Schizosaccharomyces pombe: one gene and its partners. The gene in region 1 interacts genetically with each later gene. Each region holds a gene or a part of one and is shown on either strand. Other genes may lie near its edges.

The links.
Region 2: mutations in ade6 (region 1) and tsc1 impair growth when combined (synthetic growth defect), as found in Schizosaccharomyces pombe (one study listed by BioGRID).
Region 3: of ade6 (region 1) and sup35, a mutation in one rescues a mutant of the other (synthetic rescue), as found in Schizosaccharomyces pombe (one study listed by BioGRID).

The regions. Positions count from the first base shown.
Region 1 is NC_003421.2:1,314,577-1,324,638, reverse strand, and holds ade6 (phosphoribosylaminoimidazole carboxylase Ade6), read right to left. Parts: upstream 8,359-10,062; 5' UTR 8,303-8,358; coding exon 6,644-8,302; 3' UTR 6,604-6,643; downstream 1-6,603. Other genes in the region: prohibitin Phb2, read right to left, coding at 18-284, 492-795; rpl3402 (60S ribosomal protein L34), read right to left, coding at 2,717-3,052; transporter chaperone complex subunit vtc4, read left to right, coding at 4,049-6,214; mitotic spindle checkpoint kinase Bub1, read left to right, coding at 8,707-10,062.
Region 2 is NC_003424.3:671,120-683,577, reverse strand, and holds tsc1 (Rheb GAP, hamartin Tsc1), read left to right. Parts: upstream 1-5,318; 5' UTR 5,319-5,339; coding exon 5,340-8,039; 3' UTR 8,040-8,257; downstream 8,258-12,458. Other genes in the region: G-protein-signaling regulator Rgs1, read right to left, coding at 1,957-3,402; THO complex subunit Tho2, read right to left, coding at 8,258-12,458. UniProt on the Schizosaccharomyces pombe protein: Together with tsc2, required for uptake of various amino acids from the environment and for proper conjugation. Involved in induction of gene expression of permeases and genes required for meiosis upon nitrogen starvation.
Region 3 is NC_003421.2:1,527,641-1,538,511, reverse strand, and holds sup35 (eRF3-like class 2 translation release factor sup35), read right to left. Parts: upstream 3,114-10,871; 5' UTR 3,060-3,113; coding exon 2,930-3,059; exon of another isoform or gene 2,896-2,929; intron 2,847-2,895; coding exon 988-2,846; 3' UTR 501-987; downstream 1-500. Other genes in the region: SNARE-binding protein Sec1, read right to left, coding at 199-239, 278-305; SPOM_SPCC584.03C (GTPase regulator), read left to right, coding at 3,835-5,490; Cu metalloregulatory transcription factor Cuf2, read right to left, coding at 5,759-6,167, 6,212-6,304, 6,355-6,386; met10 (sulfite reductase NADPH flavoprotein subunit), read left to right, coding at 9,020-10,871. UniProt on the Schizosaccharomyces pombe protein: GTPase component of the eRF1-eRF3-GTP ternary complex, a ternary complex that mediates translation termination in response to the termination codons.

The DNA of each region.
Region 1 (10,062 bases):
ACTAATGTTAGTCATACCATGAGTAAGTGAGACATCATCAAGCAAAATATTGAATCGGGCTGCTCTCTTCATTAAATTCTCGCGAACCAACCTAGATACACGTTCACGCTGGGTGATCAACTGGCTTGCATTAAATTGAGCTACAACGCTTTTTAAGACTTCATTAACAATAGAGGGCAAAACACGTTCATCATAATCACCACCTAAAGTACGATAAATTTTTGGCAAAGCATGAACATCGGGACGAGACAAAACACGACAATTAATGTTCACCATTTGTAAATCTAAAGAAAAATGGTTAACATATTTCTAGTAATACAACCAACAAAAACCCCTCAAAGCTTAGCTATTCGAGAAGAGTAGAATCCATAAACACAATTCATCACTTTGCAACTAAAAGCTTAATTCACAGTAGGTATAAAAACCAAATGAATGTTTCTTACAGTCACCTTTAGTTATGTACGCTCAACGTTTTAATTCTTGTAACCTACCTTTCGTTCCGGTTAGAGAAGATATATTTCGTGGTTTAGCACGAACATCGTAATCAATGGCCGTTTCGATCCAAGGAATCAAGAAGTGGGTTCCTTCAGGATATATAAGGTTTTTAATTCCTCCAATCCTGCTATACTTAATAGCTCGGTGACCACCATCAACGTTAAAAAGAGAAGTCTGCACAGCAAATCCTGCAAGGCCAAGAGCTAACAACAAACCAGTTCCTGTAAAAGCATATTTTCCTTTAGGAAGTCCCCGCTTCATCAAATCATTCATCTGCTGGAACGGTCTTTGACGATTCATACTGAAAAGCTGTATACGGGAAAGAAAGACTTGTAAAATGAATACGTATAAGTAAGCATTTAAAATGGCACTTCAGTATACCTTATCCATTTTATCGTATTGTATCATAGTACGGTATTTGAGTTGGATTAATGTTGTTTTATATGCAAAAAAAAAACAAATAACTCGATAGTTTTTTTCATAATTTTCTTTTATTTTATTGATATTATAATATAAAATTAGCAGGAATTGAATACTGCTATTTTTATCGCTTTGTAGTGTGCAGCCTTGATAGAAAATGTGAGGTGCGTCGTTTTATTTCGCGAACAAGTTGAAACTTACTAAACTTCATTCATTATATGATTTATATTTTTTTTCTAATTACAAACAAAAAGGTATTGACGTTTTAATTTTAAAACTTGCTTTTTCAATAAACGGTGAACGATGTGCATTTAAAATCTAAACAAAAATATTTTTTCCCATACCTGTTATTTTGTTTTATTTTTTGAAACAAAAAAAACTGTAATTAATCAACTGTCTGATAAATAAACGAAGAAAAGCCATCGGGGACTCAAAAATATAAGTTATCAATTACATTTGCATTGTACGTTTAACAGCATTCTATGATTGAATTTTATAAAAGGTATGCTAAGACAATAGAATATTGCAACAATGTTACAATATTTAATATGAAACCGAAATTTGTTTTGCATTTTCTTATTTACTATCTTTTGGTGCAAAAGCACACATAAATGAATTTTTCTAGTAATTCTTTTACTTTTAATTTTCTTTGTAAACCTTCTTTCGATTTAATGTATAGACGGGCTTTGTTTTGTTTACAATAAATAAAAATATCTGCAATCGATACTCTACGAGACATAATTAAAAAAAAAAAATAAATAAAAGTAAAAATAAAAAGACATAGGCCCTTGGTCACAATAGTGATTGGTATAAACGAGAAACATAGTAATATGAATTATAATAGTCAAAAAATGTATACATGATATTTAGTAGTATTATAATTATTAGACTAATTTTTTGAAGTATATCTAAGGATCAAAAAGAAGCTTTATTGTTATAACATGTATTTTGAACAAAAGCTGCATAAATGAAGCATCATCCATCTTAGCGCAAGCTCAGAAGTAATATATACATAAAAGAAAATAGCCAACTTTATAAGGACTATATTAAAGATAAGGCCTCCCGAGGAGATTTGAAAATATTGTACGTTTGAACAAGCAAAGTAAAAAGGTAACGTCAAATAAACCTCGGAAGAATATATTCAATCTTTCAGCTCGTTTGAGATAAAAGTCATCATAAATTACTTAGCATTTATTTTAGCTGTTACGTCTACCTGGCACAAACCTGTACTAAATACGAGTAATTCTTTTCACTTTCAAATAACAGTAGTTTTCTTTTACGAAAGTTTTATCTGCAGGAGTTTCGAAAACGTCAAAAAGGAAAAGTAAGTAGCTCAAGTGTTCGCAGTTGCTTATATGAATCGTAAATGTATAATCTTACTCTTTTGATTTACTAATAGCGTATCCTTCTATGCCTGGCAATCGATAATCCAACAAGACACAACTAATAGTGACATACAATTGATGAACACTGTATCAATATCTCAAGACGACACTTAAAAGTTAAGGGATACATTCTACAGCAGGTCAAAGTAGATACATTCATCATAGTGTGTTTATTTCAACTGTTTCTATTTGTAGCACGTTGCTATTATAATTGGTTTACATTTTTTTAAGTAATCTAATTTTTGACGTCTTAAAAAAGTCGAAAACGAAGCTTATAACTAACAACAAAATAAAAAGAAGCACAAACAGAAAATGAATACCAAATACCAATTTAAAAGAGAAGGAAGCTGATCAAAAATTAATATAGATTGCTTAATTCAGTGACGCAATATAATTAATTTCTGTTTTCATGAACTTTACTTTTGAGACATCTGCTTCAACTTTTGCTTTACGATCTTCTGCTCTTCAATCAAGAAGGCACGAACAATTCGATCCTTGACAGCATTGGCGCTAAGGCATCCACCATAGGCACGTTGGACCTTCTTCTGGTTGTGCGAGAGACGAGCGAACTCACGAGGACGCAAAGCAGGAATACCTTGCAAGGGAACACCGGTATCACCGCAGCGAGGTATAGTACCAAGCTTCTTAATATGAAGGTAGCGAATGTTATTACCGGGAGTCTTGATGATTCTGGTTTTGTTGCTACGAGTGTTGTATGCAAGACGACGACGATAAGTAACTCTTTGAGCCATTTTGAATTATGAAATGAAAATGAAAATAAAATTATTAAAATTTTACAGCGCTGATTTGGTTGCTTGAATGCTATTCCTTAATGAAATATTCCTAACTATCCTTTTCCACCGAAAAAAAAGGCAATCGCAAAATTCAAGTGTACACGTTCTTTTTTTCTATAGAACCCTTAAATTTATGATAAACTGACCAACTTTGTCCTCTTGTTTTATACTTCTTCTGTTAGAAGTGTAAGGCGCACGGAGAGTTGATTATTGCTCTGAAAACCAACTTTTTGCGTGACTGTTTGGGATCGTGAAACGGATATATCGAGGCATAACAAACTCAACGCAAAATAACATAATGAATTATACTTAACTGCTTTAAAATGAAGATTATTTGAAATCAGAAATATCATGTTTCGAGGACATTTTGCTTTTTAATTTGCATCAGATTTTCACACCTAAAAAATCAACTTCTTCAGCTTTGAAATTGATTTTGGATCGCCTTTTCCCGATCTTGTCAACTTTTGAGTTATTTCATCTTTACGCCACTACCACCCTGACCATTTTTCTCTCCACCACACCTGCAAACTACCAACGTTCAAGCTCGTTTAATTACAGATATATTTACAGTTTTTTTTTGACTCTACAGAGTTTTTTTTGGAGTTACCTTTTTTTTAATTTTTTTTGTGCTTAAGTTATAGCTACAAAAGTGCTTGTTGTCTCTTTGATTGTTTTGTGAACAAATTTTGTGATATTGAAGATTTATTCGTAGGATATTACTGTTTGGCACTTAAGTTTGTCAAATACTAGTAAAATTCCCAAAGAGGAAGATATTATTTCCCGTTTGCAGTTGTTTTTCACTTTTTTTACTCTTCGTCGAATTTTTCAAGGGATCACCTAATAACAGTCTTTGATATTAAAAATTCAATCATTCTTTATTCCCAAATTTATACGTTTATTTTCCCTTGAATCCCTCTTTATTATTTACTAGATTAACTTATTGAAAATTGCAACATGAAGTTTGGTCAGCTTTTGAAGGAAACGTTGATGTATGAATACAAGTATTCATATGTCAACTATGACAAACTAAAGAAGGAAATTAAACGCCGCAATGATCAAGGTGGTTGGAGTGAGGAAGACGAGTCGGACTTTGTTGAACTTTTAGAAAAGGAGCTGGATAAAGTTTATTCTTTTCAAAAGAACAAGTCTGCCGAAGTTATGGAACGTATCCGATTCTGTGAAGAACAAACTGATGAAGTTGTTCGTCGTCTTGATAGTGATAATCCTCCCAATGAAAATGATTTTGCAATCTTGGAAACTGAACTTACCGACATTATGGCTACTGTCCACGATTTGGCCAAATTTAGCGAACTTAATTACACTGCGTTTTATAAAATCATCAAGAAGCACGACAAACATACAGGTTGGATCCTTAAGCCCGTTTTTGCTGCTCGTTTAAATGCTAAACCATTTTTCAAAGAGCAATATGATTTATTGGTTGTTAAGCTCAGTAAGCTTTACGATTTCGTTCGTACTAGAGGTAGCCCTATCAAAGGTGATAGTGCTGCCGGTGGTACACAACAAAACTTCGTGCGTCAAACCACTAAATATTGGGTTCACCCAAATAATGTTACCGAATTGAAGATTTACATTTTAAAGCATCTTCCTGTACTTGTTTTCAATCCTAACAAAGAATTTGCTCGTGAAGATGCTGCTATTACTAGTATCTACTATGATAACGATGATTTGGATTTTTACTTAGGCCGTTTGGAAAAGCGTGAAGGCGCCGAAGCTATTCGTCTTCGTTGGTATGGTAATATGGATAACAACAATATCTTTGTTGAACGAAAGACTCATAGAGAAGACTGGACTGGTGAAAAAAGTGTGAAAGCTAGATTTCCCCTTAAAGAGAAATATGTAAATGCTTTTCTCCGAGGTGATTACACTGTCGAAGAAGCATTTGCCAAGATGCGTAAAGATGGCAAGAAGTCTTTGAAAGAAATCGAAAGTCTTGAAAGGCTTGCCAAGGAAGTTCAGTATACTGTTTTGAGCCGTGGAATGAAACCTTATGTTCGCAGCTTTTATGAACGTACTGCATTTCAACTTCCAGGTGATGCACGTGTTCGTATTTCTCTTGATACGAACTTGTCATTGATTAGGGAAGACGGTCCGTCCCGCGCCGGTAACAACTGGAGAAGAATGGATATTGGAATTGACTATCCTTTTGATCAACTTCCTGATGAAGATATTGTTCGTTTCCCTTATGCCATTTTGGAGGTCAAGTTGCAAACTCAATTTGGTCAAGATCCTCCTGAATGGGTTAACAATCTTGTTAATAGCCACCTGGTCGAGGCTGTCCCTAAGTTTTCCAAGTTCATCCACGGTGTATCTACTCTTTTTTACGACCGTGTTACTTTGCTTCCATATTGGTTCCCACAAATGGACATTGATATTCGTAAACCTGCTACTCACACTTTCATTCAGGGACGCAGTCAAAGCGGTACTCATAGTTCATCTGTCTCTGCGAATGTACTCACCGATTCTGAGAATACACCAATTCATGCCGATGGTGACAATTATGTTGACGAAGAATCTCGTATTGGCTCATCTAGTACCCGGAATGACAATTCTACCTTCCAAACATCGGACAGTTTTCAAGAGCTCGATGAACGCACTAATTTGCTTGATATTTCCAAAAGGAAAGGACGTGACTCATTCGTTGCAGCTCTCAACAGCAGATTAAAGGACATTAAGGATTCATTTTTCTTGGAGACTGTACCCAAGTTCGAAGAACCTACTGAGCCTACGGTCATATATGAACAAAAGTATGTGTCGCCTCCTGGTAAGCGAATTTATGTCCCAGTCCGTGTTGAGCCCAAGACATATTTTGCCTTGGAGCGTACATACCTGGACTATCTACGCTATTCTATTTTGATGGGTTCCATCGGTATAACTTTATTTAGTTTCGCTAAGACGCGATCTGGTATTTTAGGAGCTGCTAGTTTCACGTTGGTAGCTTTATTTGCTATCTTCTATTCCACGTTTTTGTACTTGTGGAGAGCTGTTAACATAGCCAAACATAATGCGGTCCGATATGATGATCGTTTTGGTCCTACAGCTATATGCGTGATTACTTTTGCTGCAATCAGCGCCAATGTTATCTTAAACTTCAATGCATAAACTCATTGAATTCTCCAATATATTTAGAATTAGCAATTGAAAGATAATACAAATCAACTACATCTTTTAATAATTGAAGACTAATTATCGGTTTAATAACTAGTCTTAATATTGCATTTTTTGCATTAATATGCGTTAATTTAATTGGGAACATGGTCAACGGGGTTTTATTTGGGTTTCTTACTATTATTTTTTGATTGCTTTATAGCATATTATATTGGGTTCTTTAATTTTCTTTCAACTGCTTCACAGCACATTATTCAGGATTCTTATTTTTTTTAATTGCGTCGCAGCACATTATTCGGGGGGTTTTTATTTTTAATTTTTAATCACTTTTTAGAATACATTTTACAATCTAGAATTTCAAAATAAAATATTATTTAAAACAAAAAGCAAGCAAAATCATTTAACAGTTATGTCTATGGTCGCCTATGCAGAATAATTTTTCCAACCAACTTTTTCTAATTTATCAGCCTTTTCTAAAACAATCTCTTTCATATTGTCCATAAAGCTCTCCATAGCAGCCAAAAGGGAGGGTTGAAATGTAGCAAGTATACGACAGGCTAAAATACCGGCATTTTGGCTATTATTGATAGCAACAGTGGCGACAGGGACACCTCGAGGCATCTGAACAATAGAGTGAAGAGAGTCAACTCCGTCAAGAGTGCTTCCTTTTACAGGAACGCCGATTACTGGAAGAGGTGTCATTGCAGCAACCATACCAGGCAAATGAGCGGCACCACCAGCACCAGCAATAATCACACGCAACCCTCTTGAAGCTGCGGTACGAGCATAAGTAACCATGCGATCTGGTGTGCGGTGAGCTGAAACAATAGTAAGTTCGTAAGGCACCTTGAATTCATCTAAAATGACGGCAGCATCTTTCATCTTGCTTAAATCAGAATCCGAACCCATGATAATACCAACAACAGGTGATTCGACAGGATCTTTGACGTCAAGAAGCATCTGATACCTACGTTCACATTCTTGAGGTGAATCAGAAATGATGGTAACGTGTCCCATCTTGCGACCCTTTCTAGATTCAGCTTTACCATAAAGATGCAAAGTTGCACCGGGAATGGACAGAGAACGTTTAGCGATCTTTGAAACATAATCAGGATCATCAGTACCTAAAATATTTACCATCAACGCATGAGTTGTGGAAGTCGAGAGTTGGGTGTTGATTTCGCTGAAAGGAAGACCACATATGGCCCGTAAGTGAGCTTCAAACTGAGAAGTTGGGCAAGCTTCAATGGTGTAGTGACCTGAATTGTGAGGCCGAGGAGCAATTTCGTTGAGTAAAATGGTCTCACCATCTTGCAAAACAAACATCTCTACACCATATATACCAGCGCCTTCAAAAGTGCGCACCGCATCCATGGCAAGGGTTTGAGCACGCTGTTGAATTGAGAAGGGAAGACGAGCAGGGGCATATACTAAATGACAAACATTATCCTTTTGAATGGTCTCAGTTGTAGGATAAGCATAAACTTTTCCGTCTAAACTGCGTACTACCATCACTGCAATTTCCATGGAGAAAGGAACGAACTTTTCAACATAAAGCGGACGATCACCAAGTGCTTTGATGGCAGTAGGAATCTCAGATGGTTGATGAACAACGTAATTTCCACGACCGTCGTAAGCCAATGTTTTACTTTTCAGTACAAAAGGATAACCAAACTCTTGGCCTGCTTTTTCAACACTTTCCTGGTCAGGTGCATCGCAAAATTCAGGAAGTGCAATCTTAAAAACCTGTAAATGCTGTTTTTGAAGATATTTGTCTTGAATGCATCGCAGAGTTGCAGGAGAGGGTTCAACAGCAACAGATTTCGTAACGGCTGCCAAGGCATCAGTGTTAATATGCTCAATTTCAGTTGTTAATAACGTGCACTTCTTAGACAGTTCAACAATTGCATCGGGGTCAGTAAATGATGCATCAATGTGCTCACGTCCTCCATCAATTTGTTTGGCAGGAGAATTTGCTGCATCCAAGATGATGCATTTGATGTTTAAGCGATGGGCTGCCTCTACCATCATTCGGCCCAATTGACCACCTCCAAGGATCCCTACAACCTGTTTTTCGCTCATATTCGATGAAGTATGTATATACCTTGGCAGCTCAGCTTAATGAGATGGTAAATGTTGAAAAAACGAATCTTTTTTTCAAAGTTGTTTATTGTAGTGAGTTAGTGCGCAGTTTATTATTTGAGTTTTGCATCGTATTAATTCTGTCATCGTTACATTTCCAAGCATTGTGAAATGCAACTTTAAAGCAGCATACGCTAAAATCAATATAGCTTTGCTATTTTTTCAAGAAATAAATGTATATGTCGTTATCCATATATAAAGCAACGTTTGTTGTCGTTATACCTTATACTGCACCAGGCTGGATTTCGTTTACCTCACCACCAAGTTGAAAGAATACTTGTCGTCGAACCAAGTGCAGAATACGGTCTATTAAAAGTCGTCCATGTTTCAATGTGCGTATCACTATGTCCGATTGGCGGCTTACAGAAAATGTACTTGACCAAAACATACCTGAAACTAAACCCAGGGAGTCCAAGACTCGCCTCGAGGAAATTCAGCGATTAGCATTGTTTCAAGAGGAACTCGACATTATCGAAGAATTGGATGACCCCGTGGATGTTTGGTATCGCTGCATCGAATGGCTCTTGGAAACAAGATTTTTGGGCATGGAAACGGTCAACAAAATGCTTGATGATGCTATTCAGTACTTAGAAAGATGTCGCTTCGCGCTTAATGATGTTCGTCATCTTCTCATACAGCTTGCGAAAATTAAACAATCATACGAAACTCCTGATGAATTGCAACAGGCGGCCAAGCAATTTTACCAATTGGCATCGAAAGGCATAGGCCTTGAACTCGCTTTGTTCTACGAAGAATATGGTTCTTTGCTCATTAGAATGCAACGTTGGAAAGAGGCTTCTGAAGTATTTCATGCAGCTGTTTCTCGAGAAGCGAGGCCTTTGGTTCGATTGTTAAGGAACGCTGCTGAGTTCTCTCGTGCCTACGATTTGCATAACGCTCACCCTTCTATTCATGATGCACCCTATTCTTCTCCATTTCCTCCTCCTCGTATTGTTTTGGGCTCAAAGCCGGTTTCATCCTCTACTCTTCCTTCAAAGCCTAAATCCTTTCAGGTTTTTTCCGATGCTTCATCTTCCCGCGACTCACAAAATGCTTCTGATTTGCCTCAGGCAAAATCCCTAGAATCCGAAGCGAATACTCCAAATCTTCCCCTGCTCTATGATAAGAGCTCTGGTAAGCGAGTTGAGTATTCTGCTTTTAATTTCCTTGCTTTGTATGAAAATGGAGAAGAAAGGTCAATGGAAGAATGTCGGGCGCAACGTTACCTTTCTTCAATTCAACCAAACACTGCTGCTTCTTTCCCGAAAGTGGTGCCAAAAAATGAAATTTCAGTGCATCATGATTCATCTTCATCCAATGTATCACCTATTTACAAGAACCCTGTGGCCGAGCAATCTGATACTCCTACACGTTCTTTACCAAAAAATTATGCTTATGTTGCAAAGTCTACATCTCCTGAATTAAAAGTTTTTGATACAGTAATGCCTGTTGCATTGTCTCCAAAACCAGCACAAAAACCACCTTCTCCTACCATACATACGAAAGCAGCTCTAGCAGATATTTTAGATATTTTTAATCAGCCTCTTCGTTCTGAATCATTGGAAAAGTCATCAAAGTCTCCTATTTCTGCTCAGTCATCCTATTTGGGTACACCGCTAAAAAATGACGAAAATTCATCTAATTCTGGAGCGACTTCTTTAACTGGTCGCTCACAAGAAGAGCACTTAGACTTTATACCC
Region 2 (12,458 bases), on another chromosome or scaffold:
GTTGACGCATTAAACACCTTTAACGAATTCCTTGCGCTTTCGTAAAACCCAAAACACTAATTGGATATGTGTAAACACAATATTCAAAATATTAACGAAAAAAATATAGAAATATCAAATTATTTGATTTCTTATAAATTAGTTGAGCCAAAGCTACTTATACCCATAATAGCAGCCAGTTCGGTATTCTCACCTACTAATCTAGGTGAGTTCTTTTCCTTGTTTACTTTTTTTTGCTTCCGCCGAAGCTTTTTAGCTTCTAATTCTTGGTGATACCGTTCAACTCTTTCCTTCAAGCTGTACTCTTCTGATCCTTTTTCTGGCTCTAATAATTGTCTGCGCCAATATTCCATTCGTTCTTTAACCTCTTCTAATGTAGCGCGCTTTTCGATGATGACAGTTCTAGTTTTTCGTAAATCTGTTAATAAGTTAGATTAGTAAACTTTTAAACAGAAAGGTATAACATACGCTGTGTACTATTTAGATGGTCAAGCCAACTTAAAGAATCTTTATATGTCTCGTTACATGCTTCACAATACCAACCAGCTCCACGGCCTCTTCGGCCTACCGAAGCTCCAGCGGGGAAGTATAGTAGTTTTATTTACGTCTTTTTCAAAGTCAATTCGTTGTGTACGTCCTCCGGTAATTACGACTTCATTTTTTTTTGAATTGCCATTCCTTCTTGGGGGATTATATCTGTCCATGACTCCTTGTTTTTATTTAATAAATTACTTTTCTCTATTCTTTCTTGTTTATCACTTATTATGAGATTGAAGTAAAAATTGATGCTGATGCACAGGAGAGAGTTGTATTATGTATGAGAGAATAGGCACTAAGTTTCGTAAAATATGATTTAAAAATACGTTGGAAAACGATGCTATAGATTTTCTCGTCAATTGGATGAGTTGAATAACTCTAAAGCAATAATAAGTTTATTAACTTTGGTATGAAGAGTTAAATAGGTCAAAAAATTATATCTAGGTAGTAATTTAATCGACTTTTTTTGAAGTAGCGAAAGAATCCTGCTGTTACCGGTAATAATTTCCGGTGTCTTCAATAACAACTTGGCCATACTTACAACAGGGTTTCCAGCAGTTATCTAAAAAGCAACTTCACTTTAAGCTTTAGCTGAGTTAAAAAATTTATCTGTATAGGATATGCTCCTAAATACATTTTTCAGTCTATAATTTTCAGAATTAAGTAACCTGTGGATTCTAATCCCATTCAAGAACATAGAAATCTGGTGAAAAAAACAAGGTTTATAAATGATTATCAACTAAATATTTTCATAATTTTTGGTTAACACAAATAAATTGAGAAACCCTGAGACCTTCAAAAATATTACTATGGCATACGTTGTCCAAATTATATAGCCTTAGCTAAATGTAAAAGTAGAGTAAACACTTAAACTCGATTTTATTGCTCATAATTTAATGAAAAATTATTGTGCTGATGCTGGTTAATGACTATGTTCTTTAGGCGTTGTCAACTTTATTTAAATTCAATTTCTTTTGATGAGGGTTAGTTCAGTGTTTGAAGCTTCTGGCGAAAAAGAGTTTAAAAGAGGTTGAAATTTTAATTAAGCCAGTTAATTTCAAATTCGATTTTCGTTTAAGTGTTCGGATCTTTATATAGATCATAGTTACAAGATTTATCATCTCGATATTCAAATGTTCACCGAAAATAATAATGCTTAATTCATATATTCATTTCGGATTTTCTCTACTCAGTTAGCAAATATGTTAGCAAAGCATTTATAGCCTTATAAGTTCATCCTTGAAACATAAGCATATGATTCTTGTTCGAGAAAACGGAAGCATCAGAGCATAGCGATGGAAAGGATCAGTAATAGACACGTAATGAGATAAAATAAAAATAATAATGCAAATAAGAAATATGTACAAAAACAAGAGGAACTGCTAATGAATGATTTAAAACACGATTGTTTTCTATGCATTAAATACCGAGCCCCCCATTCAATTCAAGAAATTTCAATAAGGAATCGCCGGCCATCAGGTCTAATACGGCTGTTTGCGCCTCTAATAAAAGAATGTGAATTAACTGGAGCCATTCATTTAGGGGTTCAACTTCCATGGCTAAGGCCATATGGTTGGTTATTTTTTCATAAAGATCACTGGGAAGATTGACGGCGTTAGGTGCATTAGATGAAAGAAAGCAATTGTAAATACCGCATGCATGAGCAAAACTTTCGCGAATTGCTTCATGATCATTAGTTTCATTAGCATGAGAAAAATAGTCATTAAATTCGCAAACTTCAGAATAGAATCGTTGATTTTCGTCACAAAAATTTTTTTTCAGAAATTCAAAGAAATAGGTTTGTAGATTCGGCTTTCTAAGAATGGTTTCCAGGATTTCCTTATTGGTGGATCCTTTTTCGACTTCATTTATTTTATTAATTAATTTATTATTGGAGACATTTTTAGTCCATCCTAGAGTCGCAATTCCCTTTCCAGTCAAAAAATAGGAAACACCCTTTGCATAGCTAAACTTTAAAGGAGTCTCGGAATTATTTTCGTAAGCAATGTATGAATGAATTAACAAATCGCTAGCAACAGTTTCCATTTCCGACCAGTCTAGGAGCATAGTGTTACACATAAGCCATTCAGCTATGTCAATGCCAAACATTTGGTATTTGGTGACTTTGCTTAAGGAGTCTTTTGGAGAGGGACTTGAAACGGAGTAAACGGGTACCAGAAGAGGGTTTTTAGATTTCCCAATTTCATGGACGCTTCCAAGCATACGTACCAGCAACATTTCACAAAAAGAAGAATCCTTAAGTATTTGATCGGTACTTGAAAAGCGCGAAATGGAAACAATGACGGGCGCAGAATGATTCCATTTGGAAGCGTAAAGCTCGGCTTGAGAATTATGTCCGTTATGTTGTAGAAACTCACTAACAACAGAGTAACCTTTCCTTGTAAGTTGAAGAAGACATTTTTCGTTTGAAAATTTTCTAGCCGATGGGTTATTTACAATTTGCAGCAAACGAGCATTTAAAAATGTATTACATAAACATTTAGCAGCAGTCTTAGGTATCGTAAATTTGGTAGTAGACTTTAAGACTTTACTGCCGCATCTACTTTTAATGCGGTTTACCTGACTCAGCTGAAGATTTTCCAATGTTGAAAGCAATTGCAATAAGGTACAAGAGTTTTCCACATATGAGAATCTGTACCTGTTCCGAGAAAAATTCGTAGAAATTACCATCGTCGAGAAGAGCTCCAAAAAGTCCTTGCTATAGGGTCTACCATTAGAGGTAATTTTCATTAATCGAGAACATTGTTGACGTTTATCGCCGGAATCTATTGAATTTCCGTTGCGATAAGACGTAACAGCTTCATAACTGGGCGGTGGTGAAGAAGGGTTATGAAGGGCGGGCATCCAAAGCTGATTCTTACTTTTACGAATTTGTAGCCTTTTATCATAAATAATAAAGTGATGAACAAAAGAATTGTGATCTTGCTAAGCGAAAAAGCGACAGAGATCGGGCAGCCAAGCACAATGGAGTGTTAAATATTGTTTCTTTTATTTTTTTAAAAGATAAAAGAGAAGTACAGAACTCAAATAAGATAAAAGAAATTTAAATATATAGTAATAGTCCCACTTTCTTGATTACCGTCAATTTTTATAATCAATTACGGGTAATTCGATACTAAATCAGGTCTCCAGCTGTTTTCAATAGGTCTGATCCCTATTAAATTTAAAATCGAATGAAGGATTGGAGCAATTTTGTAAACGTCGATATAGGCACACTGATGAAAATTCGGGAAATGCCTTAGTATTTATACTTCGAAGTTTCCCATCTAACCATTGCTATACGCTTTCTTTTAAACAAAGAAATCATTAAATGGCGAACAATGGGAACTTTAACGGAACAAAGAACATTGTGCAATTGATTTGTTTACCCCAACAAATTAACAGTGAGAAAGCAGAACAAAGAAAACAGGTAGCAATTTCCACCTTTCGTCAACTTATTCCGAAAGGGGTTTTAATGAATCGGTAAATTTCATGTGATAACACCGATTGAATAATAATAAAAAAAGAATCAAAATAAGACATTTAAACAAGGATATGCAGTCGCTTGCCTATTTTTTGAAAGGAAATATTATATAAACTAGTAGAAGGAGATATGCTATGGCTGGATAATTCACAGATGGTTGGTAAATAAAGCTTACCCAGCACTCCTGGAGACTGGGGAAAAACAAAAAGTAAAAGAAGTAAGCAAAAAAGGATTATAAACAGTTACAGATATTTTGATACTTCTTAGTTGTTCACTGCATCTCTCCTGTTAGTTCCATTGGGTACTGAAATGACCCCAAAATATGCAATGAAAATGAAATGGCTTTTGTTATGAAACTTTACATCGCCAACTTGGAAGACTTTAAGATATAAATTAAAAAATATTGGTGTTTGTAATTATTTACAAGCACCGGCTTTCCCTTTTCCATGACTATATTCTTTTCTACTTTGCGCCTTGCAACGCTTCTTACACCTGCCCTATAAAAGTTTTTTTTTATTAATGAAATATTTTCTCTCTAAGTGACTGTAACACACTGTGGAATAACATAGCAGTTAAGAGTATGTCGTTAAAAGTGCTTGAATATGTTACCATAATATTAGACCGACTCAAATTATTTGCCCTCTAACTTCCTTTGAAAGAAAAGTTCCCTAGGAATCCTTAATAGTAAAACCGTTTTCTTTTTATTTTTACATGTTTATTCAGAGAACTCTCAATGTGTTTTCGCATTGTTTGCTTTCGTATTTCCTCTGTGCTGAAAATGCGAACACTGCCTACTATACTGTATAGTCCTAGAAATCAATACTTAATACATTCTTTAAATTTTGGAGATGGATCAAGTACCATGGTATAGATGATGTTTACATAATTTGGATAAAAATTACAACTTACTTTACTACTTATGATTCCTTCAAATAAAGCTTGTTTAAAACAACGTTCCTCAATTCAATTTTTAGCTATATAAGTGTAATTATAAATACTTCTTGGTATTCTTAACGAGTATTTTAGGATATTTATAACTATTTACAATAAATTTATTATACTATGTACATTACACTAAAAAATATCATTGCAGTACTATCGTATCTTAAAAACGAATTACGACCTGTATGGTTGACATGTAATCTAGTTAAAGGATTTTTGGATAGCGCTGTATAATTTGGTTGAAAATGCAAAGACTAATTAAAAAAATGTGGCAGACTACGCTATCCTCGTTACGTTTATCAATGCTGCCAAGACTTGCTATCAGTATAATGTCGCATAGTTGTATATCAACGTTGACTTTGCCAACTTTGTACGAATGCCGCTGCAATCGCTAGTCAAAGCATTATGGAACGTCCTTCATGAAGAAGAATCGGAAGGCTATCCCGATTTGACTGAGTTAATTGCGGAAGTTGAGTCGTATCAGCAGCGTTATCCCAAACAAAACCCCACTAACTCACAAAAAATAAGACACATCTTGGACGAGATCTACGAAAAGACGCCGTTCAATAATACAAGGCGACGGATACTATGGCTAGCTGTGTTGAAAACGGTTATACCGTTGTTGATTTTGGATCGCCAAGCAGTTGGTGAATGGTGGGACCAGATCTTTTTTCCTTTCTTGAATTCTCCTACCCAATTGAAACCGGTATTTAGTGACTTGAAAAGTATTTTATTTTACATTTTAATTTTTCACGACGAGGATGAATGGGGTGGAGACTTGAGACGGGAGTGCGCTGAGGAAACTATCACTCGTTTGGTTGACCTTTACGTTTCTAAAGCTATCGAAAATCTAGGTGACGTGGAATCTCAAGAGCAAAGGAATCAAACTATTGAATGCTTGGTTAATGTTCTCGTCCATTATGGGATACAGAGACCAAAGGAACTTTCTTCTTGTTTTTGTCATCATTTTTTAAATCCTCCAACCCGAATCCCTATTTTATCAGTTATGGTTGAAGTAATACGGCGGCAAGGTCCTCGTTTATATGAAATACCACAGACTGGCTTCTATGACCTTGTTTTAAAATGTGCGGAATTTGATACTTCACCAATCTTACTGTCGTATGCATTATCTTTCATCCTTATGATACTGTCTCACATTTGTAACTCCTTAGACGATTCCTTATATAGATTGTTCTGTATCTATCTTCGATTTTCAATGATTGACCCGACCTCTGGCTTCCCATCGTCTACTGCGTCTGGTAATTGGGAGGTGTTTCACGATTTTATGTCAACGTATGCCTCAACTACCACCTCTCAAACAGATAGCTCTTACAATGATGTTCATGATATTGTTGGTTCTTCTCAACCAGATTATCTCGAAAGTCTTGACTACTCTCAACTTTTCTCAATTTTGTACGCTCTGTACCCTATAAACTTTTTAGAGTTTCTTCGGGATCCTAAGTTGTATGCTTCTAAACATAATTTCCAAATACGTTATTCCTTTAATCAAGAACTCCTCTCCACAAAGTCGGATGGTCTTCTCGGTAGACATTTGGCACATTCTAATTTTCTTAAATATACAGCAGAAACAGAACTTACCGATAAATCCCGTTGGACAAGACTTGATTCTATTGCTGTAGTGGCCCTATGTAATAGTCTTAACGCTGTTGGAATAGCCGAAAGTGTTATGGATCCTTTTGGTGGTAAGCTTCCCACCACTTATGAAGAGACAAGTTCAGCTACTGGATTATTGGCCTATCCAAATGAAAGCCATGATATTGCTTCTGAGCCTTTTTCCATATCTTGGCCTCAAAATCCATCAATATCGGGTTCTGTTCATTCCGCGACTACATTTGACAAAGCCCAATTATCAAATACTGAAGATTCTTATGATAATATTTCGCATGGTACATCATATAGTGAAGGTGTTTCCTCAATTCACATGGTTAAAGGTGAACGCGGCTCAAATAATTTGGAACTGACTAGTGAAAGTTTGAGCAGCACGAACGATACAATTCGACGCTTACAAAGGGATCTGCTATTTCTTCAGAATGAGCTCCGTTTTGAAAAATTTGTTCGTCAGCAGCACTTGCAAAATATTGGAAAGCTTCATCGTGAGCACATACTAGATATGGCTGTGGAATCAGAAAGGCAAAAATTGCTTTTAACCAACAAAAGATATAAAGCTCAGATAGAGTTACTGAATTCTGAAATTGACAAACATCGCTCAGAATCACAGGCAGCTCTAAATCGTAGGGTTAAGTGGGAAAATGATTTTAACAACAAAATAAAAGCGTTACGAGAAGAAAAGAAAGCTTGGAAAAGTGAAGAATCAGAACTCAAATCATCAATTGAATCATTAATCTCGCAATTGGAATCAATACGAAATTCTCAAATTGACATTGCGTTTTCAAAAAATCAACTGGAGTTGAAGCTTCAACTCTATGAAACTAAGTTGAAAGAATATGAACAGCATTTGAGCTGCGTTAATATCTCCAAAAAGCAAGTCTCTTCGAGCTCTGATACTTCTTTTGGAAATACGAAGATGGACAGTAGTATGATTCTCTCTAACAGTGAAGCTGTTAGTGATGAGCAAGAAAGAGAGTTGATCGAGTCAGAAAAACATCGAATGAAACTGGAATCAGAAAACTTGCATCTTCAAGCTAATATTGAGCTACTGAAAAAGGACCTGGAAGCCATTAATGTTGTTTACGAGGCTAAGATTTTTGATTTGGAAAAACGACTTTCATCTGAAGCGAACGCACCTGAGTTGCATAATCCTGTCAACTTAAATTACGACGCTCAGTTGTCTAAAATATCCGAAATAAAAGAAAATTACGATGAGCTATTAACGCGGTACCGTGAGTTGGAGGGCAAGTTTTTAGAATCACAAGCTGAGGTCGAAGAATTAAAAAACTTTCAAAAACCGCTTGTTGATACTGGAAGCTCAATACACAGTAGCCCTGGTTTGCAACAAAGCAAGTTCATAATTCGTAATGACTCTTTGCATCCTAAAGTTGGCCCGCCACGTAGACAGTCTACTGATACAAGTCGTTCTACGTTTCGCCAATACTAAGTAGGTATATTTTTGAAGGTCCTTGAAATGAACTGGTCAATTATGATAAAACATACTTGCTCATTCCATATAAAATAATTAGATTACGATTTTTCACGACCATCATAATTCTGTGTATGAATCTCCTTATATAAAGATTTTTCATTATTTCCTTGTAATTACAAATTTAGTTAGATAAGAAAAAAAAGCTGACATCTAGTTAAAGCTTGAAACGTGGATCATTGAATTTTTCTTCTTTTCTCTTCTCGAGCAGATCGAGATGTTCTATCCCGTGGACGATCTCTTTGCTGTCGTGAATCCCGATCCCTTCGGTCGTCTTGCCTGGCCCTACGACGAGAATTTTCTCTTTCATCTTCCTCTCGTAGGTTGCTCGGGCTTTGACTATCCGAAGATCGGGGACGTTTATTTGAAGCATAATGAGTGCTACGACGACCATCTGCATCTCTGGAATCATTTCCCCTATTAGATCCATTACTTCTTCCAGCCCGACTAATAGCATTATTCTGCCGAGAATTACTCTCGCCAGAAATATCTTGCCTTTTGTTTTTATCTTTCCCTTCTGTAACCTCATCACGTTTATTATCGTTGCTTGTCCTATGATTAGCTTCAGACGAGCGCTCTCTTGAAACATTAGTGCTATTGTTATTAGACACTCGAGGGTTGCGATTTACGTTTCCATTTTGGCGCCATCTGTCAGATTTCTGTGATTCATGTTCACGCCTAGCATTTAGGTTTTGTGCTTGCTGAGGCTCGCGTCGAGTATGACGAGACACGCTCCTTAAATTATCGTTGTTTTCATTTGTAAAACTTCTTGATTGAGGTGTTCGGTCTCTAGACTGATCCTCTCGCAATTTACTGTCTGATCTTTGTATATCCTCATTCGTAGGGGTGCGTGTTCGTAAAGCACGTCTGTTTCCTTCAGGAGTTGTTTTTCTACGTCTTTCTTCTTGTTTTCTTTCATTAGCTGAGCTTCTAGCTTCAACCCTTTTCTCTACTGCCTTGTTCTCAACAAGATTTTTATTGTCAGTTTCAGAAGCAACTGCGTCGGAAGGCGTACTATCAGGTACAAACTCTGGTGCACTAGGATTCAAAGCTACTTTCTGTTTATCAATCTTTGCCTGTTCTTCCGATATGGAAGCAGTTTTGGAATCAACTGCTGATGTAGCTGCCACTGAAAGTTGTTGCGGTCTCTGAAGCTTTTCTGAATTACTCGGCCTTACAGTACCAGAAAATGAATTAAAAGAAACCCATTCTGGTTGCTTTTTTGAGAGCTTTGCAAAATACCCCAAAGCCAAAACCTTTAAATCTTCTCGTTTTTCTTCGTCCTTTAATCGTTCAGCGGCTCGTTTCAAAGCACTGCCACTTTCAATTATCAATGGGAAACATGGCAAAATTTTTTCCAAGATTATGACACTATTGTAGATATGCATATATTCAGTAGATAGTAAGCATGACTCAAAATAAGATGTTAGATATTTGTGCCATTTACTAAATAGCAAAACAAATTTGTTATAAGGAAGGACAGCGGAAAGATCGGGATCATTTTGTTCGTCAGACCAATATAACCTGAACCCAGGCAAAGCACCATTTGCCAAACATTCGCGTTCGTAAAGAATTTTGTCCCTGTACCAGCTAGTAATATCATAGAGTACTTCGTATAAAAATCTTCCAAAATTATCAGCCTCTCGTTGTGTCATTGAAAAAATAAATGAAGGCAATTGTGAATTAAACAAAATTTCTAAAAATGACATAGTTGAAAAGTTTGGTGTTCCAAGACTGTGCAAAAGCTTTACAAACTTTGCGCAGTACAAAGCATCATGTGGGCTCATTTTTAAACGGGGAGCAATGCAGAGTGTCCACAAATACCGAGCACAGTTGAATCTAGCATGCTCAAGTCTTGTACCATTAGGAAAAACACCATTTGGAATAAACCATTTCACGCAGTCACCTTGCAAAACTTTTCTTACACTCTCAAGTGAATTAATGTGTTCTTTAAGTTCATTCTGTAAGCTGTTAGACAATTGCATTATTTTTTGTCGGTCGTGTCGATGTCGTGAATAAAATGTGTTAGCGGCGTCAGTTTGCCTAATTTGATCAAAAGCCCGAGAACGCTCAAACTCATAACGTTCCAAGGGAACAAAAACATCATACAGCGATAGCTTCCAAAATGTTAAATAAAAATTAGGTGAAAAATAATCCCAAATTTGTTTAGGTAATAACTCAGTTATGACAGAATTGTCAATACTCCAAACGGGGTTGCTAGCAGTGTTTGGAGATGAAGTATTTTCATAATCAATATCCATTGCATCCTCAGTATTTGAACCAGTCAAACTGTGATCTAAATTTTTGTAACGCGATAGATAAAATGCAACCTGAGGTTGAATATGAAAATCTTGAATTAATTGCTCAAATGAAGGAATCAATTTATAATAGCTCTTTGGAGAGCAAACCATATTAAGAAATTCCATTAAAAGATAAAGAACATCAGAGCATTCGTCTTGAAGAGAAGAAATAAGTTTTAAATGAGAGTTTTCATCAGTAACATCATATATACAGGTCGAATATTTTTGAGAGAGTAGTACCAATAGCTGGGTTGCCAATCCGTTCTTTTGCAGCGTATTAAAAAGTCTCATGGAACTTTTCCGAACAACGTCCGGATTTTCATATATAAGAGATAAACTAAGTTGTCGCAAAACTGGTCCACCAGCAGCCCCTTGAATCTGATTGTCAGAGAGATTTGTCCATGGTTGTAGCCCAGTCATCTGCGAAAGCAATTCTTTCAATATAACAAGGTCAAACATTTGGTTCACTTTAAACTGTTTAATCACATATTCGACGATAGAGGTGCAATCGAGGCTCGAGTATCTTCTGAATACACGGCCACAAAAAGATGCTAAACCTTGGAGCCAATGAGCTATACTAGTTCCATCAGATTTCAATCGCTTTTTGAACTCATTGGAAAAGGAAGATAAAATAATAAATGTCAATGCATCAAAGTCTAATGCTGTAATAAAACGAGCACTATCAACTACAACTTCAACTAAATTATCATAAGTTTCAATCTGATTTAAAGCGATCGAAAACACAGTACATGGATTCGAATGACAGACTTTAGCCAATAATCTACCAAATTGCTTCACATTTGTTTTCGTTAACCTTCTTAAGATGCCTTTTGTTTCCTTTTCAGTGATAGAATTTTGTAGCTTTAGCTCCGGAAACTTTTTCATGGAGGTACTTGACCATTCACCATACAACGCATATCGAGTGGATGAATCAAACTTTGACAGCAACTCAAATAATTCATAGGAAAGTCCAGTATTGACATCAATAAGTGTGATGAGAGGAAGAAGAAGCGATCTAATAATATCCAGCCATAATGTCCGACTCTCAGAGCTATTATCGACACATTTTTGACCAATGCGGCAAAGCTTTGTCACTATAACAGGATCATGACACAGAGCAAGCCCTGACAAACGTAACCATGGGATAGCTATGTTGTAGAACTCTGTCAAGTTACGTAAAATTGGTATATCTTCATCATAATTTTCAAAGTAATAAAACACCTCACTTTCAGTTTTGTTGAATCGATCAGCAAAAGGATCCAACGAAAACACTAAATTTTTTTCCTTTGGAGGCCTCAGGGTAATTTCTCGAAGCCTAGAGTCTTCAGGAATGAACTTTGGCTGTTTAAGTCGTTCCCTTACATCATTTGGTAACAATTTCAATGGACTGTAATTTGCATAAATTGAGGAAATAGAAATATGCAAAAGTTTGTGATACAAGTTAGATAATTCGGGGTACGCCCTCAACAAAAATGGATAACGACCCAAGATTAATAGAGATGAAGATAAATCCCCGATGGACAATAAAGATTTTAGTAGACCCAGCTTCTGTGAAGGTTTGGCTTTTTTTATTTCAGGAACAGCTTCAGCTTTCTGGCCATCCATGGTTTCTCCGTCTTCAATTTCATCGTCGGGCAATGGGGCCGCCATTGTTAAAGCATTTCCTTTAGCCTTAAAAGTCTGTTCATCTAATTTATCCTTATATTTACCCAACTCTTTACCAAGCTCTTCATCTGATGGAGAAAGATGAGCCCATATGTTATCAATGCTAATAAAATTATATTTAATCAACAAAGCAACCATCATAAAGTAAGATTCCAAATTCTCGTCATCTTCTTTATACATATATTGCAAATTATGACCCAAAACTTGAGACATTATGCTCTTTGTATTGGTGAATCGCTCGTCAAAATTAAAAATACCATTAGCATTAGACAGATTATTTAAAAATGTTTCCTTTTCGCGATCAGGTAACTGATTCCAAAATTTCCGCTCTTTATTCGGACCCCATGGGCTGTTTCTCAAGATAGAAAGGAAAAAGCGCCACGAATCAAGTAAATTTTCAGAAAAAAGCAAC
Region 3 (10,871 bases), 220 kb from region 1:
CAAACCAAAAGCCAAAGATGTGAAACTGAACGGCTCCAAATTAGAAATAGGCCAATTTTGATAGTTTAAAAAAAATATGTCGGAGGAAATAATATGCTGCATATTCACAAATTCAATTCCATTTAAACAATATCCAAATCAAAATTCCCAGTAAACATTTCAGTGCACGTTATAAGTTTCACGGGTTCCATCTCTTACCTTCGTAGCACATTCTACTGAATTAATTTTGCTAAGAAACACTTATTTGTTAGTAATACACCAGCACAAATAACCATACATTCTTTTTGGAGCTCCAGCAGTGTCATCTCAAAACGTCAATGTCCCGTATTCCTAAACGGAATAGCAAAAACTATACCTTTCAACACTTCAATGCTTACTCTTAAAACCAAGCAACGTCAAAAGAGTACGTGAAATTCGGATACGGTACAGAAATGCTGGTGGAATGTAAACGGTAGAATGATCGGATTACTGTAAATATGATCCACCTCGGTATTTATTCGGTAAGATTTGGTGTAGTAGCACAATAAATTTCAGTATATCTAGTGATTTAAATAAACTATTATTTTACAATATTATGAAGATTTCAAGTGTAGTTTTAATCATTAATATGGATTGTAAAAAAACAACAACTTATTATCACATTTCACCCTTCCATAGCTGCAAAGTGCAACTGCTTATTTACTATTTGCTGACCTACTCCTCGCATTGAATTCTGTACGAAAAAAGTAAATAATTTCAAAGTGAATAGGGTGTAAAGGAGTGAATGTCCATTATTCTTCATATATACAACCCATCGCATTGAAATTAGGCATAGTAATACGCGTATATAACGATTAGATATACATCTTCTACCATACCGCTAGTCCACCAACTAAAAAATAAGCAAATCCCATTTTGTCCTAGTTGGATTATATACAGTAGAACCATAAAGTGTCATACATTTGCATAGAAACAAATCCCGAGCACGAGAAAATTGCCGAAATTACCCTAATCCAAAATTTTTACGACTTTGCCAACTGCAACCGTAGTACCCTGATCACGCAAAGTGAAACGGCCCATATACTGATAGTCCTCAAACCTTTCCATACAAACCGGAGTTTGTGTTTCCAACTCTGCAATAATTTTCATACCCTTGGTAGCAAACATGGGGGGTTTCTTGCTTTTGCGGTTTGTTTTGTCAAGTTTATGGAGCAACTTGGCAAATGAAACTTCCTCGACAGCGGTATGAATGTGCATTACACAAGAATAACCAGTTGTCAAAATTGAAGGCAACTCAAGGATCGCAATTTGTGCAATGAAACGAGTAGTAGCATGAACTGGGTTTTTAGTGGATGTTAAAACATAACCAGTTTGGACATCCGAATCGTCACCACGGACACGGAGACGAACTTGGTCACCGCAAATAGAAGAAGAGATTTCTTCATCAGCTTCATCATATATGGCTGTAACTTCAAGGGTTTGATTAATTGGCATAACCAATACGTTTGAATTTTTCTTAATCGAACCAGCCTCAATCTTTCCTTCTAAGATGGTACCCAAATCTTTATACTTGGAGGCAATAGGCATGATGAATGGAGCATTCACTTTGCGTTCCAAATGAGTCATAGAATCCAAGTATTCTAGCAAAGATGGACCTTGATACCACGGGCAAACCGAACTGTCAACACGATCCTTAACGTTTTGACCAGTGTAAGCAGAAACGGGCATATATTTAACATCAGTCTTTGAGTTGTATCCAGCGACACGACGCAAAAACATGCTGAGCTTATCGACACATTCCTTATAACGCTCCTCCGACCACTGAACGCTAGGTTCGTCCATTTTATTAATAACGACAACTAGATGATTGATGCCTTGTGTACGAGCCAATACGGCATGTTCACGAGTTTGACCACCGCGCTCAAAACCAGCTTCAAACTCACCACGACGCGCTGAAATGACTAAAACACCAATATCAGCTTGAGAAGCACCATTAATCATGTTTGTAACGTAACCTTTATGACCCGGAGCATCCAACAAGCTAAAGCGACGGTGTTCGGTTTCAAAGTAAGCACGACCAACTTCAACGGTTTTACCTTTTTCACGTTCTTCAGAAGTGCTGTCCAAAGCCCAAGAAAGATACCAACTTTCTTTACCAGCTTCTTTAGCTTCTCTCTCTATTTTCTCCATAGTACGCTTGTCAACCATACCAGTCAAGAAAAGAATATTACCACCCAGGGTAGACTTTCCTGCATCAACATGACCTATAAAAACAATATTGACATGTTCCTTTCCATACATATCCTTCAAAAGCTCTTGATCAACCTCATTTTGTAAATCGGTGGCATCCTCAGTGACAGTGGCGGGTTCAGCTGCCTCAGCAGCTTTCTTAAGAGCCGCTGCTGGAGCAGAGGGTGTTTTTGCTAGTTCAGCATCAGCAGATTTTGTAGGAGTTTCCTGGGGAGGAGGAGCAGCGGTCTCCTTCTTTGTTGACTCAGAGGTAACCTTGGGTGCAGGGGTCTCTGTTTTGCTTTGTGCAGCAGGTGCTGCTGGTTTGGTAGTTGTAGGAGCTTTTGTTCCACCAAGGCTGATGCTAATGGGCTTTGTAGACTTAGGAGCAGAGGTGTTTCCACCCAGGGACAAAACCTTTCCTTTGGGAATTGCTGGTTTAGGAGGCACAAAACTCTTCTTTTTAGAAAAATCAGGGACACGGCTTTTATCTTCATCAACAGTGTTTCCTGTTGGCTTTTGGTAGTATTGCTGATAACTCTTCGTAGGATGTGGCGAGTTGCTGTTTTGTCCTTGGCCTGTATATTGGGCATAAGGATAACCACCAGCAATATTGTTCACAGGTACAAATCCGGGGCCTAGCAAGAAGTTAATAATTTTTTTACTTAAAACAAGCAATCATCTCAAGACATATGGATGGTGTTCTAATTAAAAAACGTACGTTGGAAAGAAGGAATGAAGGGAGCAGCTTTAGGCGTAAACGTAGGTGCCTTTGCAGACATCGACAGTTTAGAAGTCTGCTTGGCGAGTTGCTCATCCTGTTCACCGTTATTTGGCTGATTACTAGCCATTTTTTGCCTTTATTAAAATATGTGGTAAAGGGACGGTGATGTTGAAGAGAATTTACACCACAGTATACACTGTGTATTCTTTTATAATATAATATTACGAGTACTTACGATGATATTATTAGCATCCTTTATATAAGCTTGTGCTATAGTAATTCAGTTAAGTTCATAAAATATTATATTTGAGTTTAATTTTACATTTGGTTGTAAAATCGGAAGCAACTGAATTGTAAATTGGTCATTTTCTCGCTTTTTTCTTCAGTAATACGCTATTATTGTCTTAAACAGGTAAAATATATTGACTTGCCTTGGGAGATAAAAAACAGAAACTTCGGTGGGCTTAATACCAAACACAACATTTATTAGCTATTGGGTTGAACAATTAATCAAAAGTTTTTAAATCTATTGGTTAATTAGTCTCCATTGTCACCAATAATCACTGCAAGGATTTTGTCATGGAAGAAACGATGAATCAGCGTTACAGCTTCAAAATATATACCAAGCAAGTTCCAAAAGATTCAATATGTAAATCCATTATATAATTATTCACTTTAGGATTTCCTTATACAAAATTCTATAGGCGTGTTTGGATATTAAACTTCTATCCTCCACATATCACTATGACTTAGCGCAAGTTCTATTTGGTTCTCAATTTACTACGCTTCTTTTTATTTCGTTATTAATTTGTTGTTAAAAGGAATAAATACAATTTGAATGACCATTATTTATTTGTTTAGCCTTGTTTTCTCTTGTGTTTTTTAAAGCCGCCTTTTTAGAAATGGATGAATTACTTAATGTAGCTTCTCATGCTGCGACATTTGCTACGAACTTCGCGTTGAAACATAGTATATCATTTGCAGGAAAATTAGCTGTTCAGCAAGTTAGCAGCTATATTAAACGTGCCTCTGCAGATGATCAAAGTGAATTGGAGTCTGTGAAAACTCAACTGCTTGAAATGATTCGAGTTGTGACGCCTGCTATCGAACTAATTGAAATAATGTCAGTCGGTGAAAATGAAAATTTTAAGAGTACTAAGCAATTAGTGGATTCTTTGCACGCTGACATCGAACAATTCACCAAGCATGTTTTAAGCGCCGCTCATTCGGAATTTCCGCCTTCCTCAGAAAAAGAAACTTTGCAGAAGAACGTTGATACGTCTATTCTTCGTGAAATGAAAACTTTACTTCTCAAAATTAATGATGCAGTTCCTCTCTTAAATCTGTCCATCACTACTTCTGGTGCTTCTATTTCATCTTCTCTTCCAAAATCTACTTCATTTTCCCAACTTCTACGAGCTAATTCATACATATATAGGGCGAATGTTGCATTTACTGGAAATGAACCTTTACAAGTTGGCCCCACATTTTTCCTGCGAACTTATAAAATTATAGATAACCACGCCAAGTCTGGTTATATAAGCAATGATTTAGTCATGTGGAAAGAAGAGATGCCTGTTTGTATCGCCAAAATGTTTCGCATGCCTCCTCAACGGTTGAAGTCCAAGGATACGGTTCTAGCCTATGCTTTATCTTTAAAACAATCTTTTGATGATGATCGTTACCATGATGAAGATGAGACTCCTGTCACCAAAACCATTTCACTAAATGATGTGCGCACGCTTTTTTTTAGTTTGTCCGGTAAACTTCTTCGGTTAGATGATGTACAAACTCCCGTATTATTACTCAAGTATGCAGATGATGAAACAGAGTATTCTTCAAATACAGCACCTTCGAACTGGATAGCTTTAGAAGCACTTCCTTTGGTATCAATACCTAATGAATCATTAGACGAATCTGATGAACTTGCAGAATCTCTTAGTGATTCTGAAGCTGCTAGGCTACAGCTTTTAGGCATCAAAAAACAAGAATCCGTTGCAAAGAAAAAGTCTTCCTTTCCATCGACTATAAAAGATCAACCTAATTTAACTTTACTGGAGTATTTGATTAGATTATGCGCGCTCGAAAGTACTACCCAAGAATCAGTTTTACAATTACCTGACGAACAAATTGCATTGTATCTTAAAGATTATCAAGGAAGAGAGAGGCCCCGAGATCCGGCTTCATATAATGCCTTAGAAAATCGAAGTGAACTAAGCGCCAGTCCAGGTTCAGTATCCTCCTCCAGACATTCTGGAATTTTTGCGACACCAACGTTTCTGTCACCATGGAATATTAAAAACATACCTCTTGTTACCCCTGAAGTTTCAACACGTCAAACGAAAAATGTTGATGAAGAGGATTCAGCTTTATTGATGGCTAGCCCTTCTGTCCGGAAGTCCAATTTACTTCCTCAGGAGGACCTCATTTCAAAGGATTCTGTGATTAAATTAAAAGAAAACCCTTCTGTTATTCCTCATTCCGAGCCTGAATCATCGTCGAAAGTTATCAACTGCCAGGCTAAATTAAATGTGGAAAAAGAAAAGAAAAACCCGTGAAAACTTTATCAGAGTAATATTGACGCTATTCAATACACAACTATTCTAAATTTCACTTCCCATGGGAAATCCTTGAAATGGTGTTTGATCCCCAGTAAATTTGAATACATAGATTTCTCTAATGTTATATGCACCTTTTTAGACGACCAAAACATTCAAATTACTTCATCTTTTTATGATTGAATACTTTATGTGAGAGTACTTATACATATGATATGACAATAACCTTCATTTGTCGCTATTTGGAATAATAACGAAAGTTGTGAATTCAAGGGATTCCGGATATATCGTCTTTGGAATGTAAGTACTTTGCGAAATTGAAAATATCGGCCTCTTGGTTTATGGTAAAAGAATCGTTTTCTTTTTCATTCAATTGACTTGCATCAATGCGATTAGAAGCATCTGTTAGTGAAAGAGGTTTCCTATATCCTAATATATCTTCACTGATGGGTAGTGTTCTTCCTAAATCGAAGGTGTAGGCTTGACTTGCAGGATTTAAAGAAGAATTCATAATATCTTTGTCGGTTGAAAACAAAAAAAGGCTAGCCAATATTGGGTTTTTCTGAGTGAAATTTAATAACTCCTGATACTCATTGGCGAAGGGTAGAAAAGGCTGCAAATGACAAACGCATTTTAAATTACTCTTAAGTTGTTGTTTTATGGCTCTGCATTTTTTGCTGAATTTCAAGTTAATATTTTTTTTCTGATCAATGTGACATACCATAGTAACGGCCTTCCTCTAGTTCGAACTTCTATCAGTGCCCTTTCTTGATGCTGGCAGGATGAGCCTCGATGACCTCGAAGGCATACAACACTAGAGTAAGTGTTAAAAATTTTATCTTATAACCATACAAAAAGTCTTACCAAGCATAATTCTTACCGTCAATAATGATCATGATTGAAGGTATTTGTGATTAAGGGAAAAGAAGACAAGTAGGATTCGAGTAAATAAGCTAGTCGAGGAACGTTTTAAATAAATTCCTCTTATACGTTCTCTTCCTTTAGGTTGATAAATTGTAAATGACAGCTTTTTCCCAAATTCCTTTTTCCTCGTCTCTGCTTTAGCTTTCTGATCCAGAAGAATTGCACAACGGATATTAATAGAAGACAAGACGAACAGCTAAGTGTTTTAAAATAATATACTTTACTTTTAAATATTTCCAATGTTTGTTGTTTGTCAAAAGTTTGAGTGCTGGCATAAATTATTTATAAGCTCTAGCTATGGACATTTGTTTACATATTATGGGATAAACAAATACATCAACTTATTGACACTAACCAACAATAACATACAAAATAGGAAGGTATTAAATCACTATGTTCAATGTTTTTGAGCACAATTTCGTAGAAAAGATAATTTTGATTTAATGAGTGTGCAAACTGATCAAATTGTGATTTTTCCTCGAGGCGATTTCATTCTATGTTTTTATGATTGCGTCAATTCTCTAAGCAGTTTTGCGATTTTCTGCACTCTAAACTTGTTAAATAACTTTTGTTTGCAAAAGGTACCAGATGCTATAAAGACTGGATTTTGTTAATATACTACTTTATATTATAACATATATGATTTTCAGATTACAAAACAGCTTAAAAGTTTGCAACCTAAAGACATAATAACTTTTTTATTGATTGCTCATTTATTTTAATTGATTATTATTTTTCAGGGTTATATCGAGTTACTTTGTTTTAATGTCAGGTTTAAAAAAATAATTAAATGAAAGTAAATGTAAAATGAGGTAGGCTTGTCAGACCCTTCAAATTTTTTTAAAAAAAATTGAAATATTTCTTTCAGAAAGGTATGATTAAACTCACAATTTTTTTCGATTTCAAAAAATCTTTTAATCAATTTGAATATTTGCTACCTACAAATATTGTCACATAATAGAAATGTAGACGAAGTGATTTCATCAAATTAAGGAACGTTCAGTATTTTAAAAAAAGATATGTAAATTCTACAATTTGTGACGATTTGGAGATGCTACTATTTGAAATGTAAATGTATTTACATAAATGTATATTTGCTGCTAGATGCTGATATACTGGGTATAATGAACATAATTACAGCACAGTACTTAGATGCATTTAGCGCACTATGAATAAATCAGTAAATATTGAATACCTGTCAATTTTCTGGAGATAAAACTAACTAGCTAAACTAAAATCATATAATGGAGCTTCTAAAATCAAGTACGTTGCTGAAATCGAACACATCAATACGTGCGGTTCTTTACTCAAATTCACTTGACATTCTATTTCATGTTTTTCAGAATGCGAAAGATGATAATGTCTTTCTGATCAGATTGCTACAAGATGAGACTACTAAAAGTATTGAAATTTAGAAAACCTTATAAAAACAATAACTACCTTGCACACACATTTTCTTAATTTGATGAGAATAAAACTGCTAACCCCAACGGTCGTTATTTATCGTCTGGGTATCCGTAAATCTCTGTATACCTGTTCAAAGATATACAACGTCACATCTGTCAACTACATTCCATTATGTTGTTAAATCCCTTCAAATGTAAGCTACGCAGTTTGGTATCTGATTTAAGGATACGTAGAACTGCGGTGAGTTTTCCTTGTGATCTATTATATTACAATACACAGGTTGTATAAGTAGCAACTGAGTATAGGTATTGTATTAACTGAGTTATAATGTTACCTATCACTAATATAGCTTATAACTGAACTGAGGAACGAGGTTCAGCAGTAGCTCTATTTATATTATTCAGATAATATAGATCTTGATAGATTATCATTAAGATCAATCTCAATATCGTATCATACATGGTACTATATATAATTAGAACATGTGACATATAGTGATACGCAACGTAGTGTATTATAGCGTAGTGTAGTATTGCTGACATCAAACAATTCTTTAATTACAGTAAGAAAAAGCACCTCCATTATCCTTAATAAGAATAACGAGCTATTGAAAGAATACGTTGTTTATACCTTTAAATTAAGCGATTATGTCGCTTTAAAGTAGCAACAATTGGTGTGATACACAAGCGCAATCACGCAAGCAGTAGCTCTCCGAACTGGTTTATTTATTTGTTAAATTCTCAATTTTACTCTTTACCAAGTATACCTAAATATCCCAGTACTTTGCTTAGGTGTAAATTCCACGTTTGGTAGGAATTTTAGGCATTTGCAACTGAACATTTATATCTACAGTTTAACTAGAAAAAAATACACCAAAATTTTAAAACGTTTAACGGTTAATTTTTTTGGCGAAATTTTGAATCTAAAGCTGTATCTTAATTAAGAAACAGATTTCTAACTTTTTAGCGAATAAAAGCATACTTGTTTCTTTTTTTTTTTTTTTTTTGGAAAGCTCGTCAAAACGAAAAATTTTGGTTTGACACTTTTCTCCATACATTTGGATTTTTTGGTTTCTTTTTTGGGGTTCAACATTCCTTTTCATTAAATATTATTTAATTTTTTGAAACGTTTTGTTAATCAAAATTTTAAATTTCTTTAATTATTTTCTTCCGTTTAATCATTGATTTGTTGGTTCAAAATGGTTGCTACTGATTCTTCCGATCAAGTTGCGAAATTCGATGTTTCGCACAAAATCATTGAAGATATTGTTTATTCTCTTTCCAACCGTATCTTTTCTTACGCGGAACACGTTCCTTTGAACCGTTATTTGACTCAGTGGAACAACTCTGGTCGCAGAAACGGATTTTCCAACAATGTTGAACTTTTCAATTTGGAGGCTCGCTCTGGCGCTTCCGCTTTCTTGTTGGGCTCTTACACTGCAGCAATCTCTTCTCCTGGTGTCTACTCCATGATGACACCTTCCAGCTGTTTATCGCTTTTGAACCCCTTGCTTTCTAATATTATTCCTTTCTATGGAGCTAGTAAGCCTCTTGTTGTTCATGTCGCAGCTTTGGCCTACCTCGAACAAACCTATTGCGCTGATAACGTGAGTGTTTTAGACTTTTCTTACGCCAACAACTTCACCGTTTTCGCTTCGCAATCTAATGTCGAGGCTGCTCACCTCGCTTTGGCCAGTACATTGGCTGCCAAGGCTGCTCCTGTCATTCATGTGTATGAGCCGGATGCCATTGTCACCACAACTGATCCCAGCCTTCCTCTTCTCGATTCCAACGCCGTGGTTGAGTGCTTCAACTCTTACCAATCCGAAGCTGATCCTGTCTCCAACGCTTCCAAGGCTTTGAAGCATGTCAACGATTACTTTAACACTTCGTATGCTCCAGCCGAGTATTACGGATCTCAAACCGCTTCTAAGGTTATTGTAACTTTTGGGAAGTCTGAAACCGTCGCTGCTCGCGCCCTTTTGGCTGCCAATCCTGATGTGGGCGTTCTTTCTATCCGTATCTTCCCTTTTGTTGCTGAAAACATTTTCAATGTTCTTCCCACTACTTGCAAATCTCTTGTTGTTCTTTCCCAGGTTCGCTCTACCGCTGTCGGAACTTCTTCCATCTACTATTCCTTCCTACTTGCTACACTGTTGAGCACTAAACCTTCAGCGCTTGCTATTTCCGAGCATCGCTACTCCTTAGTAGAGTCCGTCACCTTGAGCTCTCTCTTTGATGCTCTTCACGAGACCCTGCAATTGAAAGCTGCTACTCCCAAAGCTGTTCATGTTGATAAGAGCATCAACGTTTGGGAATCTGATGTCGGTGATTCCTTGGTGCTTTCGTTAGTTTCTGCCTATAGAACCGATAAATCGAGATCTGTTGCCTTCCGTCCTTTGTTTGACAACTTGACCTTGGCTGGCGTCCGTTTTACCGTTGCCCAAGTTTCTACGGCCAACGCTGTTTTAACAGATGTTGTTAAAGATGTTGATGCTGATATTACTATTTTAACTACTGATCGACTTCCTTTACATTATCGTGTTCTCGCCAAGGCTGCTGAACATTCTATTTGTTTATTACAGTCCTCCATCGCACCAGATGAAGCAACTAAGAAACTTCCATACGAATTTATCGCTGATGCTTTGGAGAAAGGAGTGAAATTAGTGCTTATTGATCCCAAAAAGTTTGCCATCGATGCCTCGAACTTGCCTTTGTTGGTTTCATTTATTCAACTCGTCAAGCCTGGTTTAGGTGTTGACGAGGCTTTGGCTGTTTTGGCTAAGCAAAATAATTTAACTGACACGAATTTGAAAGATGCTGTTGACTCACTTAAGCAATCTCTCTCGTTCATTAATTTAGACGCCTCGGCTTTGAAGGATCGCGAGCCCTCGGAGAAGGAGTTGCCAAGTACCGCGAAGGAAACTTCGTTTGCTCCCAACGCTGTGAAGACTTTAGATGAGGATATCACCCCTCAATCTTCCAACTGGCAGACAGTGGCCAAGCAGATCATCTTCCCCGAGGCTTACAAAAAGAAGGACGCCCTTCGTC